Linked DNA regions of Cricetulus griseus. The protein of the gene in region 1 binds, or shares a complex with, the protein of each later gene. Links are inferred from orthologs where the notes say so. Each region holds a gene or a part of one and is shown on either strand. Other genes may lie near its edges.

Region 1 (8,382 bases):
GAAAGAAAGAAAGAAAGAAAGAAAGAAAGAAAGAAAGAGAAAGAAAGGAAGAAAGGTTGGTTCATGAGCCATCAAAGACACACAGGGCAGTCAGAAGGGGCACACAAGGACAGGACAGACAGGCTGAGCAGAGAGGAAAGCCGCAGGCGTCACCTCCAGGGTCTTTACCTTGGCTGCTTGGTCAAACAGAGCTCAAGATTTAACTAGCGGCGCCCAGGGCCCATGCTGGCTGGCGGGCTGCCCGCTGGCTCCTGGCTGGGGTGACCGGCCTAGATGCCCCGCCCCCGCGGGCCTCCGCGGTGGGGGCCCTGACTGACTAGCTGCCTAAGCAATACATTCAGCTAGACCACTGCATTGTGCACAGCGGTGCCCTGCCTGTCTGCCTGGCCGGGCCCCGCGGCTCTGCCCAGGGGCTCATGTATGGGCTGGGTATGGTGGGGGTGGAGGTGGGTTTGCTCCGAGCTCCGACGATGAGCGGGTGTAGTTCCCAGTTCTGGCTCTTTTCAAGGAGGAGGAGCAGAAAGAGGATGAGGAGGAGGAGCAGGAGGGGGGAAAAGATGGTTGATTAAAATTAAAACATCCACATAAGGAAAAAAAATTCAAATTCTTTTCTCTGTCAAACGACCCTGAGATCTTGGCTGTTCTTGTCTGGCTTCACTCGTTGCCTTTGGGAGACCACTGCCACACAGGTGGTTGGGGATGACAATGACCCAAACTGACAAGAGGGTCGCAGTCTTTGTGCTGCCCCAAGAGGCTAAGTAGCTCTGGTCAGCTGCCTGGAGGTGTCCCAGTGAGGACAGCAGAGAAGGGAAATGGGGGGGGGGGGTCCCACCAGCCAACAGTTTCCCTCCCCTTCCCCACTCCCAGGAAGTGCCATGTTGGGGAGAACTGGAGGAGGACAAGGCTGCAGCTCCCCTGGCCAGGCCAGAGAAATGGGGCAGGCAAGAGGGGCACTCACCACTCCTCATCTTTATGAGCCAGGAAAAAGTCCTGCATCTGCTGCCTTCGGAAGTCGAGCTTGTAGTCATTGTAGCGTTTGACTGCCTCAGTCTCATCCACAGAGTCATCCAGGGACAGGAGGAATTCTTTGAAGGACTTCATTACAGGTGGTGGCACACCCAAGTCAATCTCTGCAATGCTGCCCAGCCTGGGGGAGGGGGCGTCCAAACAAGAAGGCTTGGTTGTGAGGGAGAGGTAGAGCCTAGGTAGTCAGACACCCCATTCTTTGTCCAAATACCCACTACCCCAAGCAGTAAGTGCTACACCTCACAGGCACCCCAGAACCTAGCCCTCTCCCAGATTCCAACCATAGTCTCCAGCAGCCCCAAACAATTCCCTTCTGGAAATTCCCTTCTCCCCAGGACCCCAGGCTTTACCTGGCCTGGATAGGCAGGACATGGTGCTGCATGATGTGGACGTCTGGGTGGCCCCAGGGCTGAGGGGGGCCATAAGTTGGTCCCCCACCCCCCCCAGCATAGGGCATGTCATAGCCACTGTGGTATGGGTCAGAACTGTGCTCATCCCTGAGGAGGGGGGGACACAAAAGTCAGACACACAAAGAAGCAGAGCCACCTCTCCAGAACATGGACAGGGACAAGAGGAGGGCACATGTAGGATGTAGTCTCTCACTCAAGGGATAAAAGGGACAAAGGAAAGCTGGGTGCGTGGGATGACTGAGACAAGGAAGCAGGAGAGGAGGGCTGAGGCCCAAGGGATCTGAGGGTAAAAAAAGAAAAGTGAAGCCACCTTACCAGTCTCTCCGCATGCGCTTTTGTGGGGGGCTAAGTTCGTGGCGAGGGGGGGAGAAACGTTCCCTTCGATTCCGGTCATAGTCTCGATATTCACCCCGACTGCGGCGCTCCCGGCCACGGTCCCACTCTCTGGAATAGGAAAGACAGTGGCTAAGATGGAGGTGTGGATGCAGTGGTGGAAACACAGGCCTTGGCTTCCATTCTCTAGCAAAGCACGACACACAAGCAAACAAAACACCCAATAGCTTGACAGCTGTGGTGGTTCACACACAGGCTGGTCTTGAACACCCTATGTAACCAAAGCGCATCACTCTGAACCTATCTCTTACTTTCACATCCCAAGTGCACACACCACTACACCTACCATAAAGCTTCATGAACCTTGAAACTACATATTAATATATATTACTTTGGGGGCATAGAAACTGAATCTAGTGCTTCCTGAATGTGTCTCTGCACTGAACTAGAGTGTGTCCCCAGTCCTGCCCCTGAACTCACTCTGCACACCAGGCAGTACTTGAACTCGAGAGCCTCCTGCCTCAGGTTCAGGAAGAGGACTATAAGCTTCTATCACTCAAAGTTAGTATAAGGAGGAGCACTGTCCTCATCACCGTGTGGTTTAAAAGAGCTTCCACAGGGATAAGGTGGAAGAAAGACAACCTTGTCCACCCATACACAGTTCCATAAAAGGGAAGACTTAAATGGCTTTTTCAGATCATTTGGGCTATGTTTTCTGGCTCCTGAAAAAAGTTAACAGAATCCTGTTATGCTGGCAGAGCTCTCAAACTCTTGAACTCTAGCAATCCTCCTGTCTCAGCCTCTCAAGCAGCTGGGCCAGCTAGATAGGTTCCTTCCTTTCTTTCTTTCTATCTTTCTTTTTAGGAAGGGAGGGTTGTTAATTTGGGGTCTATATAGCCCTAGCTGTTCAAGAACTCACTGCATAGATCAGGCTGGCTTCAAACTCAGACATTCTCCAGCCCCTGCCTCCTGGGATTAACTATAGGTGTGAGCCACCTTGCCCAGTCCCCTTTTTGGCTTTTGAGACAGGATCTCAAAGTCTGTAGTTGTGGCTGGCCTGGAACTCCCTACTTAGACGAGAATTGTCTCTTCCTTACCCCAGGAGTGCAGATTACAGGTGTGAGCTTCTACTCCTGCAAAGAGGCAGTTTAACAGTAAGTTGAAGCAGGCAAGGTATAACTCTAGCACTTGGAAAATGGAGGCAGCTACATAGTAAATATGAGATCAAACTAAGACCCTGTGTCGTCTCTGCCCTCTGCCTGCCGCCTGAGAGCCTCATCCAGTAGCTGTTCGAAGCAGAAACAGGCACAAACAGCTCACCACTGAACCATACTCACAGAATCCAGCTGTGGACAGGGAGGAGGGATGAGCAAAGGAGCCAAGATGGGGCTGGAGAAACCCGTAAAAACAGTGGACCTGACCTAGTGAGAGCACGGAGACCCTAGTGCTTGGTAAACAGCATTGGACCGAACCAAGCTCTCTCAATGTGGGTACCAGCTAGGAGGCTTGGGCAGTCTATGGGACCTCTAACAGTGGAGCCAGTGTTTATCCCTAGAGCACAAATGGACTTTGGGAGTCCATTCCCTATGGAGGGATACTACTGCAGCCCAGATACAGCAAGGAGGGCCTAGGCCATCCTCCAAATGATATGACAGACTTTGAAGGTCCCAGGTGGAGGGCCTCACTATCCCTGGGGAGGAGTTGGGAGGGTTGGTAGGGTACATGGCAGGATGGGAGGGTGAGGGAATGGGGGGGGTGGATATGTAAATGAGTATTAAAGAATTTAAATTAAAAAAAGACCCTGTCTCAAAACAAAGTTTTTTACTCATTGTGCTACCAGCCCTTTGAGCAGCTCCTGACATTTCCCAATATATAGTATCAAGATACATTTCACAGGGTGTGGTGGCACACTCCTTTAATCCAGCACTCAGGAGGCAGAGGCAGGTGGATCTGTGAGTTCCAAAGCCAGCCTGGTCTACAGAGCAAGTTCCAGGACAGCCAGGACTACACAGAGAAACCCTGTCTCAAAAAACAAACAAAAAAGACACTTCATAAAGACTGCTTATCTCAGAAAAGTCTACACAATAGGACATTGTCAAGCTCATACTGGTAGATACAAATTTTCCAACTTTGTTTCTACCAGCAAGTTCATTAGCAACAAATACTATAACAGATTTCTTCTAAGTAACAATTTCTCTTAGCTTACTCTCCTGCACAAGTCTGCTTAACACTACTTGTGAAACCCCAGTGTTGATACTGCTCAAATAAAAAAAAAAAAAAAATGGCACCTCTGGGAAACCTTCAGGCTCCCCAACCAATCACACAACTGCTCTTGCTGAAGGCAGCAACTGTCCTACACCTAACACAGTGCTCTATTATGTGTACTTCTAATCCAACACTCATCCTGAAAACCAAACCAGACACAGAGACACACACTCTACTTAGGGACACTAACTGGTGTTCTTCAAGCGGGCATCCTTTTCATGATCTTTGTGCTAAGGCTCCGGGCTTTAACTAGCATTCCTGCAGTGCCACTAACAAAGGCAGCAATACAGTTTGAGAACCACTACACCAACTAAGAGTATGTGTCCTTGTCTCAACCTGTTGACCTCAAGCTGTTTCTAGGGAATTACCTAGAAACCCAGCTATGTGTCCCTTTCCTAAGGCTCTCCCCAACACTACACCTGTGTCTTGAACATCATCTGTTCCTCAGAACTTAAGTGTCTTTGCAATGACCTCCCACTCTGGTCTGTCTGTGGCATGTACTGAAAGCCACTTTGACCTGACACTTTTGAACTCTGAAGAACTTCATCTAGTTTCAGACTCAGAAAGCAACCTTGAGTTTCTTATTTAAGAAGCACCAGAGAGTTAAGTATGCTGCCTCACTTCTAACTCAAGCACTGAAGAGCTGAGGCAGGAGGATCACACTCCAGGCCAGTAAATAGTACATAAGACCCAGTCTGAAAAACAATAAAGTGCAGGGGTGGGGTAGAGAGATGGCTCTCAGCAGTTCAGTGGACTGAGGCTCAGTTCCTAGGAACCACCTGTTAGCTCACAACTATCTCTCAATTCCAGTTCCAGGGATACAACTCTGTTCTTACAGGAATCAGGCACAGCATAAATACATGTAGACAAAACACTCAACAAACTTAAAAAAAAAAAAATCTTAGCCAGGCGGTGGTGACACACACCTTTTATCGGATGATCTCTGTAATAAGTTCAAGGCCAGCCTGGTCTACAGAGCTAGTTCCATGACAGGCTCCAAAGCTACACAGAGAAACCCTGCCTCAAAAAAGTCAAAGGTAAATAAATAAACTAACTAGTAATAATAATTCTTGCCACCTTTAATCCTAGTACTGGGAAAGCAGAGGCAAACAGATCTCGGTGTGTTTAAGGGTCTGACTGGTCTACATAGTATTGAATTCCAGGACAGCCAGGACTACGGAGAGACCCTGCCTCAAAAAATAAATAATGCAATTTACAAGTAATAAAATGCACAAGCACTCCCTGGAACTAGGACATGCTCAGCTGAGGGCTTGCCTAGCAACTACAAAGTCCTGGGCTCCATCCCTAGCACGGTTTAAACAGGGATCTGGTGGTGCATGCCTGAAATCTGGGGGGGGGTGGAGGGGTTTAGAATGTTGTTAATGTCATCCTCAGCTACCCAGCAAGTTCCAGGCCAACTGGCTATAAGAAACCCCATCTTTCCAATAGAAGGAAGGGAGGAAGGAAAACTCCTGATGCATTTCAAAGAAAGACTGATTTTTCCCACTCAGACTCTTGGCTCAAACACGTAGACCTGTCTGTTCCGCCTCATTTGGGTTTGAGATGGGTAGTCTTCCTATGTGACCTAGACCTGCATGGAAGACGAAGTGGTCCAAGTAGCTGGGTAGGGCTCCTGTCCACCTCTACTTCTGGCTGTAGCTTTGATCTTAAAGGCCTTTCAAAAATCTAAGACAACAGTGAATGTATTGAATCACAGAAAACGGTCCAACAGTGGATTACATCCTAACAAAATTTTGTAAAGGGAAAAAAAGCAACGCAGACAAGATGGGACGGAATAAAACCTCGGCGTGGACCGGTTGTGAAGGGAAAACAAAGTACGTTAATACGTCTCACCGGTCATTCCAATCGTCCCCTCGGCGTCTTTCATCTCTCTCCCGGGAACGGTCATAGTCGCTGCGCTCTCTTCGAAATTTGTCCCTGCGTCTTCGATCGTACTCGTCGTCGCTGTCGCCCATCGTGCTGTCAGAGGAGGCCTGGGGCCCGGCGGCGGGCGGACATGGTGATGATGAACAAGGACCAGCGGAGGGGCAGTCCCCCGGGGGCAGAGCGCCCGCCTCCCTCCCGCCGAGGCCGGCCTGCCATCCCGGGCAGGGCGATCGCTCCGACAGCTTCACTTCCCCAGGGGTCCCCCTTGTGCTCCCCGAAGCCCCCGGGCACCGTCTCCTTCCGATCCCGCCGCCCGGGCCTTTCCTTCCCCTCCCCCACCTGGCCGAGGTCGGGCCGTTGGCAGCGCGCGCCGCCGGCGGGCTGGTTTTCCGGGCGGACCGGAACGCGCGCCGACGAACCGCAAGGAGGGTTTGAAGGCGGACGGGGGAATTCTCAGCCCGGAGGCCGACGAGAGACCGCAGCGGGACTGCCGAGGGTTAGGGGGGGTGGCGCGCGCAGGAGTCACCCCGAAGCTCGGCTCCCAAGCACAAACAAGACCCCCGACCAAACTAAAACTCAGAGAGCGAGCAAGGGGATGATGGGAAAAGGGTGGAGACCCGGAAATCTCGCGCGGTTTTACGACAAAATCGCTCCAGCGCTAGGAGCTACGGAAGCTGAGCTGGGCCAAGCCAGGCCTTCTGAACGTGGTGCTTCCTTTTGAACACGAGAAGGGAGATGGAGAGTTTCTCTCCGGTAACGTCTCCTGTGTTGGAGCTAGTTTGCATCTAGAGGTTGCATTGCAAGAGGCCTGGGTTGGGGCATTACTTGCCCTCTCCAAGGGTGGATCTGCCCTCTCCTCGCGCTATGGATGGGTTTGAGGGCAGTGGATATCTAGGGAATCATGCATGCAAGCAACCATTTTAAAGGCATCTCCCACCATTTTCTTCTTTCCCAGAAATCCACACTATGTGCTACTTGCAAAACGCATTCTTCCTGCTTTCTTGGACAGAGGCGCCTAAATCTTGCGCCAACCATCCAAATCTCAGTTTTAATCCCCAATTCTTTAACGGGAAGTTGTGCATAGCAGTCTGGAAGCAACCACCAGGATCCAGTGGCTTCCAGTTTAAATGCATAATTAATTCCCCAAGATAACACCAAGCCCTTCTCAATGATAAAATGCCAAGCTAAAGAATGGAGCATGCCACAGACGTAAAAGTGTCTTTACAATAAGGGGCATTTAAAAATGTAGTCATGTTGGCACAGGCCTGTGATCCCAGCTACTCAGCAAGTTGAAGCTGGAGGATCACAAATTTAAGGGCTACAAAATGAGTTCAAAGCAAGCCTGGGCAATTTGGTGAAACCCTGTCGCAAAAAAAAAAAAAAAAAAAAAAAAAAAAAAAAAAAAAAAAATCCTCCAGAAGTGTCTGAAAAGATGGTTCAGTGGTTAAGAGCACTTCCTGCTCTTGCAGAGTGCCAGAGTTTGATTCCCAGCACCCTCACAGGCTGTTAACTCCAGTTCTTGGGGATCTGATGACCTCTTCTGGACTACTATGCTCAAATGTACATGTAACCACACAGAGGTATACATGCACACATAATTTTTTGTTTTTTGCTCTGTGTCGCTCAGGCTGTCCTGGAACTCCCTCTAGAGATCAGGCTGTTCTAGAACTCAAGAGATCCACCTACATCTGCCTCCCAATTGCTGGGATTAAAGGCATTCACCACAGAGTTCAGCTCATCCACACATAGTTTAAGAGGGAAGAGTGGTGATAGAATGCTTGCCTACCATATGAAAGGACTTGGGTTTAGAAAATAAGAAACCAAGAAGGGGGGGGGGTGTTACAGTTCAGTGGTAGGGCATTTGCTTAGCATGTGTGTGTCCCTGGTCCATCCCCAGGACCCTCCCATCCCCCACAAAAAAAGTCACCAGACACAATGGCAGACTCCTGGTAATCCTAGCACTTGAGAAGTGAAGGCAGGAGGATCCAGAGTTCAAGAACAGCCTGGGCTCTCTCAGTTATGTATCAAATTCAAGGGTAGCCTGGGACACATTAGAATTTGTCCCTCCTGCTTGTGGGGCCTGGACCTGCAGCACCACTTCTGCAGTCAGTCAAGTCTGCCATCAGAAGACTGGAGGAGTGAAAGACCAATAGAAATGGAGCCATTTGAGCTGGGCAGTGGTGGAGCACGCCTTTAGTCCCAGCACTTGGGAGGCAAAGGCAGGAAGATCTCTGTGAGTTTGAGGCCAGCCTGGTCTACAAAGAGAGTTCCAAGTCAGCCAGGACTGTACCACAGAGGAAACCCTGTCTCGAAAAACCAAATAAAGTTTAAGATAGCCTTTGTTTTAAGCTATCTCACTATGGAGCCCTCACTGGCCTGGAATTTATTATGTAGACCAGGCTGGCCTTGAAGTCACAGAGATCCACCTGCCTCTGCCTCCTGAGTGCTGGAATTTGAGGTT
Region 2 (10,531 bases), about 59 Mb from region 1:
AATTTATGGTTGAAATACAACAGTAACAGACCTAACTGGGGACACAGCCAGCACTTGCCTAATATCAGTTGTCCCTTTTCTTTGCAATTGTGGTTCAGTGCTTCATCCCTGCAGTAGAAGCAATTGGGGTCTGAGCAGGTCAGGGCCAGAAACAGTGAGTTAATACACTGATTATCTGCTCTGCTTCGTTATGTTAAGAGACCCAATTAGTCAGCAGTTATACAGCATATACTTCTGCTGTATGCTAGGCTCTGCCTCCTGGCTGGTAGACATCTAAGATCTGGGGAATAGCATCCAAGAAATGCAATTGTATTTGGGGTTACAAAAGCAGACCTAGACAAGTTGTTCACTTGAAAGATTATGATCATGTAAAATTACAGTCAGTACTCAACCCTTCTAGCAAATATTTTTTTGAAAAATAAACTAAATGCCTTTATAAACATGTGTTCTCTTGTGTTGAATAATATATCTAGTGGATAGTATTTTTTTAGTGCCATTCCAGTGGTAACGGCTCACTGAAGAACAGTGACCACTGTAAGCCCTACCTAGCTCTATCTATTGAGCTGTACACAGCAATAGAAACCCTAACTAAGACAAGGAGTATAATGAAAAAGGACTGTCAAAATTAGCATCCTCAAGCCCAAGAAACATCCTAATTCAGCCCCATTTTCTTCCTGCCCCATCATCTAGAGTACAAGTCTTCTGGAAAACTCGCCTCTTTCTGCCTTCCTCCTTTAGTAGTTGCTTGGTGCATCTTTTGTTTTCACAGAGGTGGGTCACCCAGGCTTCCTTTTCATGTACTGCCATAGTATATTGAACTGAAATGGACATACAAATTCTGTACATTCATTATTCAGACTCTCACAGGATACCAGGGCACCAAAACATGTCCTCCTTTATAGGCAAGGAAATATACACAGAATACATTGGTCTAAATTTATTGATACTTGTTACAGAAGACAAAATTACCAATGTTTTGGGTCATAAGATTATAGAAATCTGAATTATAGTTTACTACAAAAGAATATAAGATAAACAGTTCAAACTGCAGTATAAAAAGCCTTATTTTAAAACTCAAGTCTCCTCATTAAGTATTTGTAAATGGGCTTCCTAAGTTGTTACAGCTCCAAGAAAACCACACTTATTGCAACTTTGAAGATGTTCTGTCCCACCCTTGAAAAACTCATGAGAATTAGAAGGTAACAGATGAAAAAATTTGTCTTTTTTTGAATCATGAAAAATTACTCATATGTAATATTAGGACAGAATGCAAAATTCTCTAGACTCTTCTGTAGAGCCCTTCAGCTTACTATCACTGCACGGACCTCAGCAAGCACAGTTGGAGGGAAAAAGGAAACAGACTAAGGGGTGTGTTAGTTACCACAGACATTCCCTCGAGGAGGGTTTCTGTTGTTAAAGACTCCCAGTCTTCAAATTCTTATTGTTCAGGCAGTCCTGGGGAATAAACCCACGACCACTCACATAAGTGCCTACCCACTGTGCCCTGTATCTCCCCCTGCCCCTTTTCTGTTTCTGTTTTGAGACAGACTCAAAAGGTGCCCAGGGTGGCCTTGAACTTTTGATTCTCTTGCTTCAGCCTCCCAAGTAGCCAGGATTATAGGCCTGGCTGAAGCCCTTTTAAAAAGCCCATTCTATTCCAAGGTCATTTTGAAAGTGGGAAGAAATAATCTAATGGCCCCAATTGAAGCTTCCATGTCAAGGCAGTGTCTGAACTTAGATTCTATTCTCTACTGACAATGTCTTCCCCTACTTTGGATAGCAGAGGCTCTTTGTATAAAGTAGTCCTTGGGTTTTTTTGGTTTTTTTTTTTGAGACAGGGTTTCTCTGTAGCTTTGGAGTCTGTCCTAGAACTCACTCTATAGACCAGACTGGGCTCGAACTCACAGAGATTCACCTGCCTCTGCCTCCCAAGTGCTGGGATTAAAGGCGTTTTGTTTTAAACTGCCAGTGAAACATTTGTATCTTTTGAGGGATATGTTTAGTGAACACTCTTCAAGTACTGACTGATAGTGTCCTGAAGTATAAATAAGCACAGAAGCAGGGAGCATCCCAGGCCCAGTGAAGGCTGACTTCTGTACCAACTATATTGAAATATAAAAAGCAAACCCCTGTTCCTAATTTAGAGCAAAGCTACAGACTATAGCAAAACCTCAGTAATACATATGCAGACTTACAATATAAAAAAAATCATTTCTGTCCCCATGAAGATTACCAGACTGCTTGTAAAGTCAATCCTTACATTTTCCAGTCTCCCTAAAAGAAGTGTCCCATTCAGCTGACAGTTTAATTGACACATATTCTGCTGCCCAGGAATACAGTTTTTGACCTAGTAACAGAAAATCAACCTAATAAGACTAGAATTAAAGGCATTCTTTTGGATTCTGTCTTTTAATATTTCAGAGGAAAACCAGAAGTGGCTTCCAGTGCAACAGAGATACTATACTGATCAGACCTTGGGTAATGTTCTCCAACATCATCAACAGAGTGAGCTGTGTACTTGGGGCTTTCACCACTCACTGTTTTTGTGCCAGTTTGCCATAGCCGCCTCTCCCAGCATCGTAGTCCTCCCGATACTCATCTCGAACCTTAATTGGGAAAAAAACCAAAAAACACAGCTCCTTGGAATGTTGATGCAACAAACAATCATGCCAGATATAGCTAAATCTTTTCCGGTGTCCATGTACAAGCAGGACGTAAAAATTAAATTCATTTCAATGCATTTCACTTTTGTTCTAGGCACTGTTGCAGGGGTAAGACCCCTATTATGAGTTCAGTAACACTTAATATTTTAAAGTCTAGAATTTCCTTATCAATGGCCCTGGTGTTCACCCATCTGTGATTTCAACATTCAGGAAGCAGAGGCAGGAGGATCTCAAGTTTGATAACCAGTTGGCTACATGGCAAGATCTTGTCTTAGGAAACCACCCCTCCAAACCCATCAACACTAACAAGCACAGGTTCATAAAGGATGACCACAAACTGACAAAACATCTCTTCATAACTGGAACCCCAGGCAGACCAGCTCTGATGCCCTTGGAGCATACCTGACCCCCAGACCGTCCACGTCCATACTGCCTGCCCTCCTTAAAGCCTGCATCCCAGTCTGTGCGTATGATCCGGTCATCCAGACGAGTTCCATTTATGTACCGCATGGCATTCTCTGCATCTGCTCTCGAATAGTATCTTAAGTGTTAAGTATTAAGGAACACCAGCATTTCTTCAAGCAAGAGACAGGAAGCAACACACCTACATGATGCAAGTTACTAAAAAAAATGTTTAAAGTAGAAAAGCTAGCCCAACCAGACTAATTACAAAGATACTCATTTTGTAAAAGCCAGTTCAAAGTTGGTCCAACAGCACTTAGGGACATGTAAAGGATAGGTAAAAATGACATTTGTCCTGTGTCAGTCATGATTTCCTATATATATATATATATATCTGCTAATAATTATTTGGTCCATGTTTTGATTTGCAAATAGAAAAATATGGTCAATGTGATATTGGACCACAAACTTCTTATGCAAGAACAGTGAAAAAGTTGAACATAACAATTCATGTCCATAATCCTAGCACTCAAAAGGCCGGAAGCAGGGAGATTACTGGGTTTGAGGCCAGCCTGGACTACATACCAAGATTCTGTCTCAAAACAAAAACAATGTCAAAAGTGGGGAGGGGCTAAGATATGGCTCAGTGGTTAAGAGCACTTTCTCTTTGAGAGGCCCTGGGCTCGAGACCCAGAACGTATATGGTGGTTCACAACCTTAACTCTAGTTCTCAGATCTGATGCTGCCTTATGATCTCAGAGGGTGGGTACCACGTGGTGCACAGACATATGTACAGGCAAAGCACTCACACATTAAAAAAAACAAAAAAAACAAAATGAATATAAAGATTTTAAAAACCACCACAAAAGGAAAATCTTATTCATATACATACATAAATATATGTATATTACAGGCATGCTTATACACATAAATAAAAAATCCTAATTATAGGGAAACTTCTGGTGAAATTTCAGCATCTGACACCTAGACAATGCCTAGCAAGCAGTGGGCATTTAATGACTTCTGTTTCATGAAAGCTTGACAAAGAGCAAAACCAATGAGCAACAGCAGGCTTACTTCTGTACACTTATCATGAATGTTGATCTGTGGCTTGCAAGGCAAATGTAAACACTGGTTCTTAAGGGCCATTTTATATTCTCCCCTGTTGTCCCTGTGAGCTCTTTGATGCTATTGCTGGTAGGGTACAAAACTTTGGAAATCTGGTTGGCCCTTTATGCTTAGGGAAAGAAAGAAGTGTGTTTGACTACAAAATCATACACCAAAAACTGTGGTGATTTGAGCCTTTATGCTCAGCTGCCTGGGGGCTTTAGCTCAGGAATGGAGCTAATCTAAACAACAAGATTTTTTTTCTCCCTGAGACAGGGTCCAGGTCTGTGTAGCTCAGGCTGTCCTGGAACTCTTTGTAGACCCGACTGAGCTCAAACTCACAGAGATCCCCTGACTCTGCCTTGAGTGCTGGGATTAAAGGTGTGTATCACCATACCTGGCTAAAACTCTTTTTCGAGACAAGGTCTCTCTGTAGGCCTCACTGTCTAGGAACTCACTAGGTAGACCAGGTTGTCCTCAAACCCAGATATCCACCTGCCTCTGCCTCCCAGGTGCTAGGATTAGACACCTTTTCTTAAAGATTCATCTGTGAACAAAATTTCTGAATGGAATGTAGTATCAGTTTTGCAATTTACAGAGTATGACTCAGAGGAAGAACTGAGAGAAAAGGATAGGGATTATAGTAAGTTAGTGCCTTAAAAAACCAAGTGGGGTATAGTGGCACACACCTTGAATCCTAACACCAGGAGGCAGACAGCTAGATGGCCAGAGTTCCAGATTAGCCAGGGCCATATTAAAAAAAAAAAGAAAAAAGAAAAGAGGCAGGTACTCGCGCTCTTGCTCCGTCCTGGTTCAATGGTTCCATTAGATGCCCAAGAAGGATACTCCACAAAACAGAATCCACACGCCGTTTTCTTCATTTTATCCAGACCCATGATGATCTTCTTTATATCACCACTCTTGCTGAAGAGTTCATAAATCTGTTCTTCAGTTGTATAAAAGGAAAGATTTCCAACATATAATGTACAGCTTTTCTTCAGTAATTTTTCTTGTTCTTCATTGTCACCCTAGAGTTTCAAATAGAGACGAAATTAAACATTACAACCTAAAAAGAGATTTGTTTAGGGCTATAGAATGCTTAGTCAGGAGAAGCACTAGCTGTGCAAGCCTGACAACTTGAGTTTGATCCCTGGAAGCCCAGTGAAGAGCTGGATGTGGTGGCATGCACCTGTAATCCCAGCACTCCTACAGAACATGGGACCGGAATAGAGAATCTCCTTGAAGCTTGAGGCCAGCCCAGTCTGGAGTAGACAGTGCAGAGCAGAAACAAGAGTGAATCCTCCATAAGCATTACACATATATAAAATGAACAGACTTGAAAACTAAAATTACAGAGCCTTGGTTAAAGTCATATTTCCAAGTATAATAAAGATGCCCATTCTGATCTGGAAATTAAAGGCTCTCATCTTCTGATCCCTAGCACATACTCTTCCTTGCCCTAAGAGGTGGTTGTGGGGTGAATGCAGAGATGGCTTATAGGTTAAGAGTACTGACTATTCAAAGTGTGAATTTGTTTTGGGGCATTGGAAATTGAACCCAAGATATTACATATTAGGTAAGAACCCTACCAGTCTGGAAGTATTCCCATTCTAAAATACTAGTGTAAGGTTCAGCCTGCTTTTAGTGGAGAAACAAAGCACATATCCTCCTATATCATACTGCCATAAGAGTGGCATGCCTTTTTCTTGCATAGTTCATTGCCCTCAGCACTGGATCCTTCTCTAATGGCCAAGTTCAAATTCTACACCTTGACAGAACATATCAGAAAGGCCTTTTACCCTTTATAATAAAAGTAAGTCTTGTCAGTACTCCCCTAAAGCCTGTTCATAGCAAAAACTGCTAGGTGATTTGCATGGTTATGTTTTTGTGCATGTAAGAGGTTAGTGACCACTAAGAGGATTTTTTTTTTCTTTTCTTTCTTTTTTAAAATGTGGTCTCTCTCTGTAGCTTTGGCTAATGTAGAGCTCAGAGACTTGCCTGTTTTAAGGCTCCTAGTGCTGAGATTAAAGGTGTGCACCACCACTGTCTGGCAAGACTTTCTTTAAAAGACAGGATGAAGCCAGAGAGAGTGAGAGAGAGCGAGCGAGCGAGAGAGAGAGAGAAAGAGAGAGAGAGAGAGAGAGAGAGAGAGAGAGAGAGAGAGAGAGAGAGAGAGAGACACGTGCTAAAGATGGGAGTTTAAGCGAGCTTCAACCAACATAAAGCAGTCCCCAGGTATAAGATGGTTCATTGGGTCTTAGATGTGGTATTTGATTATTTGTGGTGATGGGGAATAAACTCAAGGTTTCACGTTAGCATGCTGAGCAACACCCCCAGCTCCAGGTTTGTTTCTTATCTCTGGGACCTTACATTATAGTCTAGACTAGTCTTGAGCTTTGAACACCCTGCTTCAGCCTCCTGAAAGCTGTGATTATACACATGAGCCACCACACTCAGCTAGCATGGTGTTTATCAGAAGAAAAGGGGGGGGGGAGTTATCCCTGGGCTTTCTAGCATTCCCACTGGAAAGGACACAAATGCACAGATGTGACTAAACAGATATACCAACTGACCAGACATTTTTTAGTCCAGACAACCATATGATAGAATCCAGTCTGGAGGAGCTGATAAGACTTAAGTTCAGGGAATTCACTCTAGAACTCTCCAGTTTTCATCTAGTATTCCTTAAGTAATGTTGATCCAGTTCCCTTTTTTTCTGAGAATATGAGTGCACTAATCACCTGCATTCTTTTTATAACAGAGCTCAGGCTAGCAGGTATTTACTTATTATGTATGCAGTGTTCCACCTACATGTGTGCCTGCAGGCCAGAAGAGGGCACCAGATCTCATTACTATGGTTGTGGGCTGCTCTGTGGTTGCTGGGAATTGAACTTGGGACCTTTGGAAGCCAGTGCTCTTAACCACTGAGCCATCTCTCCAGCTCTGCAGTTTTCTTTACTTTTTAAGTTATTGTGCATGCATGCGTGCATGCGTATGCACGCACAGTGTGACAGCCCTTGGAGACCAGAGGCATCAGATTCCCTGAAACTGGCTGTGAGATGATACCTGGTGTGTTAGGGACTGAACTAGAGTCCTCCAGACACCCCCTACCACTTTGTTTTTTTTGGGGGGGGTTTCAAGACAGGGTTTCTCTGTAGGTTTGGAGACTGTCCTGTAACTCTTTGAAGACCAGGCCTGCCTCTGCCTCCTGAGTGCTGGGCTGGGATTACAGGCCTGTGCCACCACCACTCAACTGTCTCCAGATGCTTTTGTTACTGTTTTTTTGAGACAGGGTTTCATGTAGCTTAGGCTGTATTGAACCATTGTAACCAAGGATAACACTGAATTGCTGATCCTCTTGCCTCCACTTTCCTAGTACTGGGCTTATAGGCACTCACCACCACTCCAAGTTTATATACAGCTCAAGATCTACCCAAGAGTTTCATGCATGCATGCTAGGCAAGCATTCTACCTGTTGAGCTAAGTCTACTTAGCCCAATTGTTTTCTGAGATAGCCCAATCTGGCCTCAGACTCCTGAGACTCATGCTACCACCTCCCCCAAATGCTTCAGTAACAGGCATGGGTCATCACACCCATCTCCAAGTTACAGTTTTTGGCTTGGCTTTATTATTATTTTATAGGTATGGGTGTTTTGCGTGTTTGTATGTCTGTGTACCAGATGCATGGCTAGTGCCTTCAGAGACCAGAAGAGGGCACCAGATCCTTTGGAATCAGTTACAGATGGTTGTGAGTCATCATGCCAGGACTGGGAACTAAATCCAGGTCCTCCAGAACAGCTTGTGCTAACCTCTAAGACATCTCTCTAGCTTTCCAAGTTACAGTTTAAAAAACAAAACAAAGTAAAATTCTGGTCTTATCCCCACTACCACATTGCCTTAAGATCACAACAGGACTGAACAGGTGAAGTCTATGGAACAATAGTCATTTGCATTCAAACAAACAGCTGGGTGCCCTGGGCGATGGTGGCACACACCTTTAATCCCAGCACTCGGGAGGCATAGGCAGGCGGATCTCTGTGAGTTCAGGGCCAGCCTGGTCTCCAGAGCAAGTGCCAGGATAGGCTCCAAAGCTACACAGAGAAACCCTGTCTTGAAAAAAACAACCCCAGCTGGGTGGTAGTGGTGGTGTTGCATACCTTTAATACCAGCACCTGGGAGGCTGAGACAGGCAGATCTCTGTGCGTTCAAGGCCAGCCTGGTTTACAGAGGGAGTGCCAGGACAGGCAGGGCTACACAAGAAACCCTGTCTCAAACAAACAAACAAGCCCAAACCAAATAAACCCAAGGTTTTAGAACTTTCGATGATCCATTAGAGAAAATAATCACTTCAACATTTTCTTTTACATGTTCCAGCTGATCTCATGGGATCTTCCTGCCTCAGTCTCCAGAACAACTAGGAATACAGATGTCCACCATCGCACCTGGCTAGCAGATTCACTTTGTACTGCTGTTCGTTTCTCACAAGTAAAATCCAAACAGTTTACAGCTTCAGTGTAACTTAATTTCACACTCAGTACAGCACTGACACTAAAAAATGCACGACAGAAATTATTAATGTCCGAACAGAGCTACAGGCTTTTGACAAAAGAAATAAATGATCCCTCTCCTGGTTTTAACCTTGCAGGATGCTTTAAATTCAAAATCGTTAGTTACTGATGTGGAACTGTTGAAAGTAATGGGAACTGTTAAAAACAAAACAAAACAAAACAAAAACAGCAGTACAAGTGAAACTCATACCAGACACACAGTATACGTTTTCAAATTAAGCTGATTGAGTTTCTTTGTGTTTTTGCTTGTATTTCGAGACAGGGTTTCTCTGTGTAGCCAGTGCCTGCACTGGATTTTGCCATCCAGACAACCTTATTGTGACTCGTGTGGCTTGTCCATGCCCGATGCCCGTCAGACAGCAAAAAACAGGGCTCAACTTTGAGTCTCCTACTATTGCCAACTTTGTAGGACTGTCTTACAAAAACTAAGGACTGTAATACCAGACGGGAATGTCTAGCTGATTATAAAAACAAAAACGGCTATACTGTCTGGGTCAGCCAACGCAGGGATAACTCCTTCATTACAGACACTTTCCCAAGCAAGACAAGCCCATCAAAACAGCCACCACTACCCGAACCTCCCTGCATTGGTGCTGGTACCCGCAGCAGCAGTAAGAAACTGTAAAAGCAAATCCCAGGTTCCCTAGGAGTAAAGTGGCTTCAATGATATCCAAACACCTCTGGGACCCCATTCGCATTTTAGGACCCCAACAAAACAGGAAGGAAGACACAATAAGACGAGTGGAAGACACAGTAAGACAAATGCAAACCGTTTCTCAGTATTCCAGCCCAAAGCCAGCCCCTCTCGTGGCCCGGCCCGCCTCACCCGGAAGTGCTGGTCCCGGTACTCGCTGAGCTCCACGTAGGAGTCACTGCGTAGCGCCTTCAGGAGGCCACCGGACATGGTGCAGACACGAACCACGACGCGGCCACGACTGGAAGGACCAGGCGGCGGTGGCGGCGGAAACGGAAATGCGTGCGTCCTGTTGCAGTAAGCCGACGTGGTCAGGGCCAATCCTGGTGCGGCTGTGTCGTCATCATGCGGCGCCGGCTTGTCCGTCGTCGGGAGTGGCCGGTCGGAAGGTGAGTGAAGGCTCGCCCCGGGTTCCCGGGCGCTCCGAGGACGATGATTTTCCGGCGGCTGCTGGCAGCCCTGCTGCACAACCCGCAGCTGGTGGAGCGGCTGTCCGAGTCACGGCCTATCCGGCGGGCGGCGCAACTCACGGCTTTCGCGCTGCTGCAGCTGCAACTGCGCGGCCACGACGCGGCCCGCCGTCTGCGCGCCCTCGCGGGTCAGCCCCTAGGCTCCTTGGGTCGCCGCGCCACCCGGTTCAAGGACACCTTCACCCAGGAACTCCGCCGAGGCCTCCGGGACCAACCAGGGTCATCCCCAGGTCATCAGAAGGGTCCGGGCACCAAATCATAAGCACAGACTGCACTCTCACGGGCCTAGGTCACGTTCCCCCACCCCTCCCTCCAGTGATCTACACCGACCTTAGCAAACATGAGTCATCTCCCGCACGATGCACGGCCTCGAATCCTGACGCGGCGGTCAACATACAGAAGCCTAAGGTCAAATGGACATGTGCGTGGTAGTCCTGTGACTAGGCAGGACGTAAAGACCCCGAAGGCCACCAGAGATAAAAGTCAACACCAAAACTTAGTATGACTGAGAGCCAAGGACAAACGACCAGGAAGCCTGCCTTCTGCAAGCGGGACTGAAGCGAAATAAACGCTACTGCCATCTGCACTGGTGCAGGAGAATACCAGGGAAGATGGTAGATGGAATGA

Evidence for each region. The genes of interacting proteins can lie anywhere in the genome.
Region 2: the proteins of Srrt (region 1) and Ncbp2 are in contact, whole or in part, in a cryo-EM structure (PDB 8PMP), measured with the Homo sapiens proteins. The link is inferred for Cricetulus griseus from reciprocal best matches to the Homo sapiens genes SRRT and NCBP2. Residues at the interface, in NP_056992.4 of Homo sapiens: Asp857, Arg859, Ala860, Ile861, Val862, Glu863, Tyr864, Arg865, Ala869, Asp874; in NP_031388.2 of Homo sapiens: Ser48, Phe49, Tyr50, Thr51, Thr52, Glu53, Gln55, Lys67, Met71, Leu73, Met76, Lys77, Lys78, Thr79, Ala80, Tyr89, Asp107, Glu121.

What each region holds. Positions count from the first base shown.
Region 1 is NC_048597.1:116,215,484-116,223,865, forward strand, and holds the start of Srrt (serrate RNA effector molecule homolog), read right to left. Parts: upstream 6,529-8,382; 5' UTR 6,261-6,528; intron 6,029-6,260; 5' UTR 6,011-6,028; coding exon 5,889-6,010; intron 1,881-5,888; coding exon 1,752-1,880; intron 1,524-1,751; coding exon 1,377-1,523; intron 1,148-1,376; coding exon 959-1,147; intron 1-958. UniProt on the Homo sapiens protein: Acts as a mediator between the cap-binding complex (CBC) and the primary microRNAs (miRNAs) processing machinery during cell proliferation.
Region 2 is NC_048597.1:57,541,842-57,552,372, forward strand, and holds Ncbp2 (nuclear cap-binding protein subunit 2), read right to left. Parts: upstream 9,722-10,531; 5' UTR 9,645-9,721; coding exon 9,567-9,644; intron 5,201-9,566; coding exon 5,019-5,200; intron 3,205-5,018; coding exon 3,066-3,204; intron 2,607-3,065; coding exon 2,535-2,606; 3' UTR 923-2,534; downstream 1-922. Other genes in the region: protein NCBP2AS2, read left to right, coding at 9,867-10,166. UniProt on the Homo sapiens protein: Component of the cap-binding complex (CBC), which binds co-transcriptionally to the 5' cap of pre-mRNAs and is involved in various processes such as pre-mRNA splicing, translation regulation, nonsense-mediated mRNA decay, RNA-mediated gene silencing (RNAi) by microRNAs (miRNAs) and mRNA export.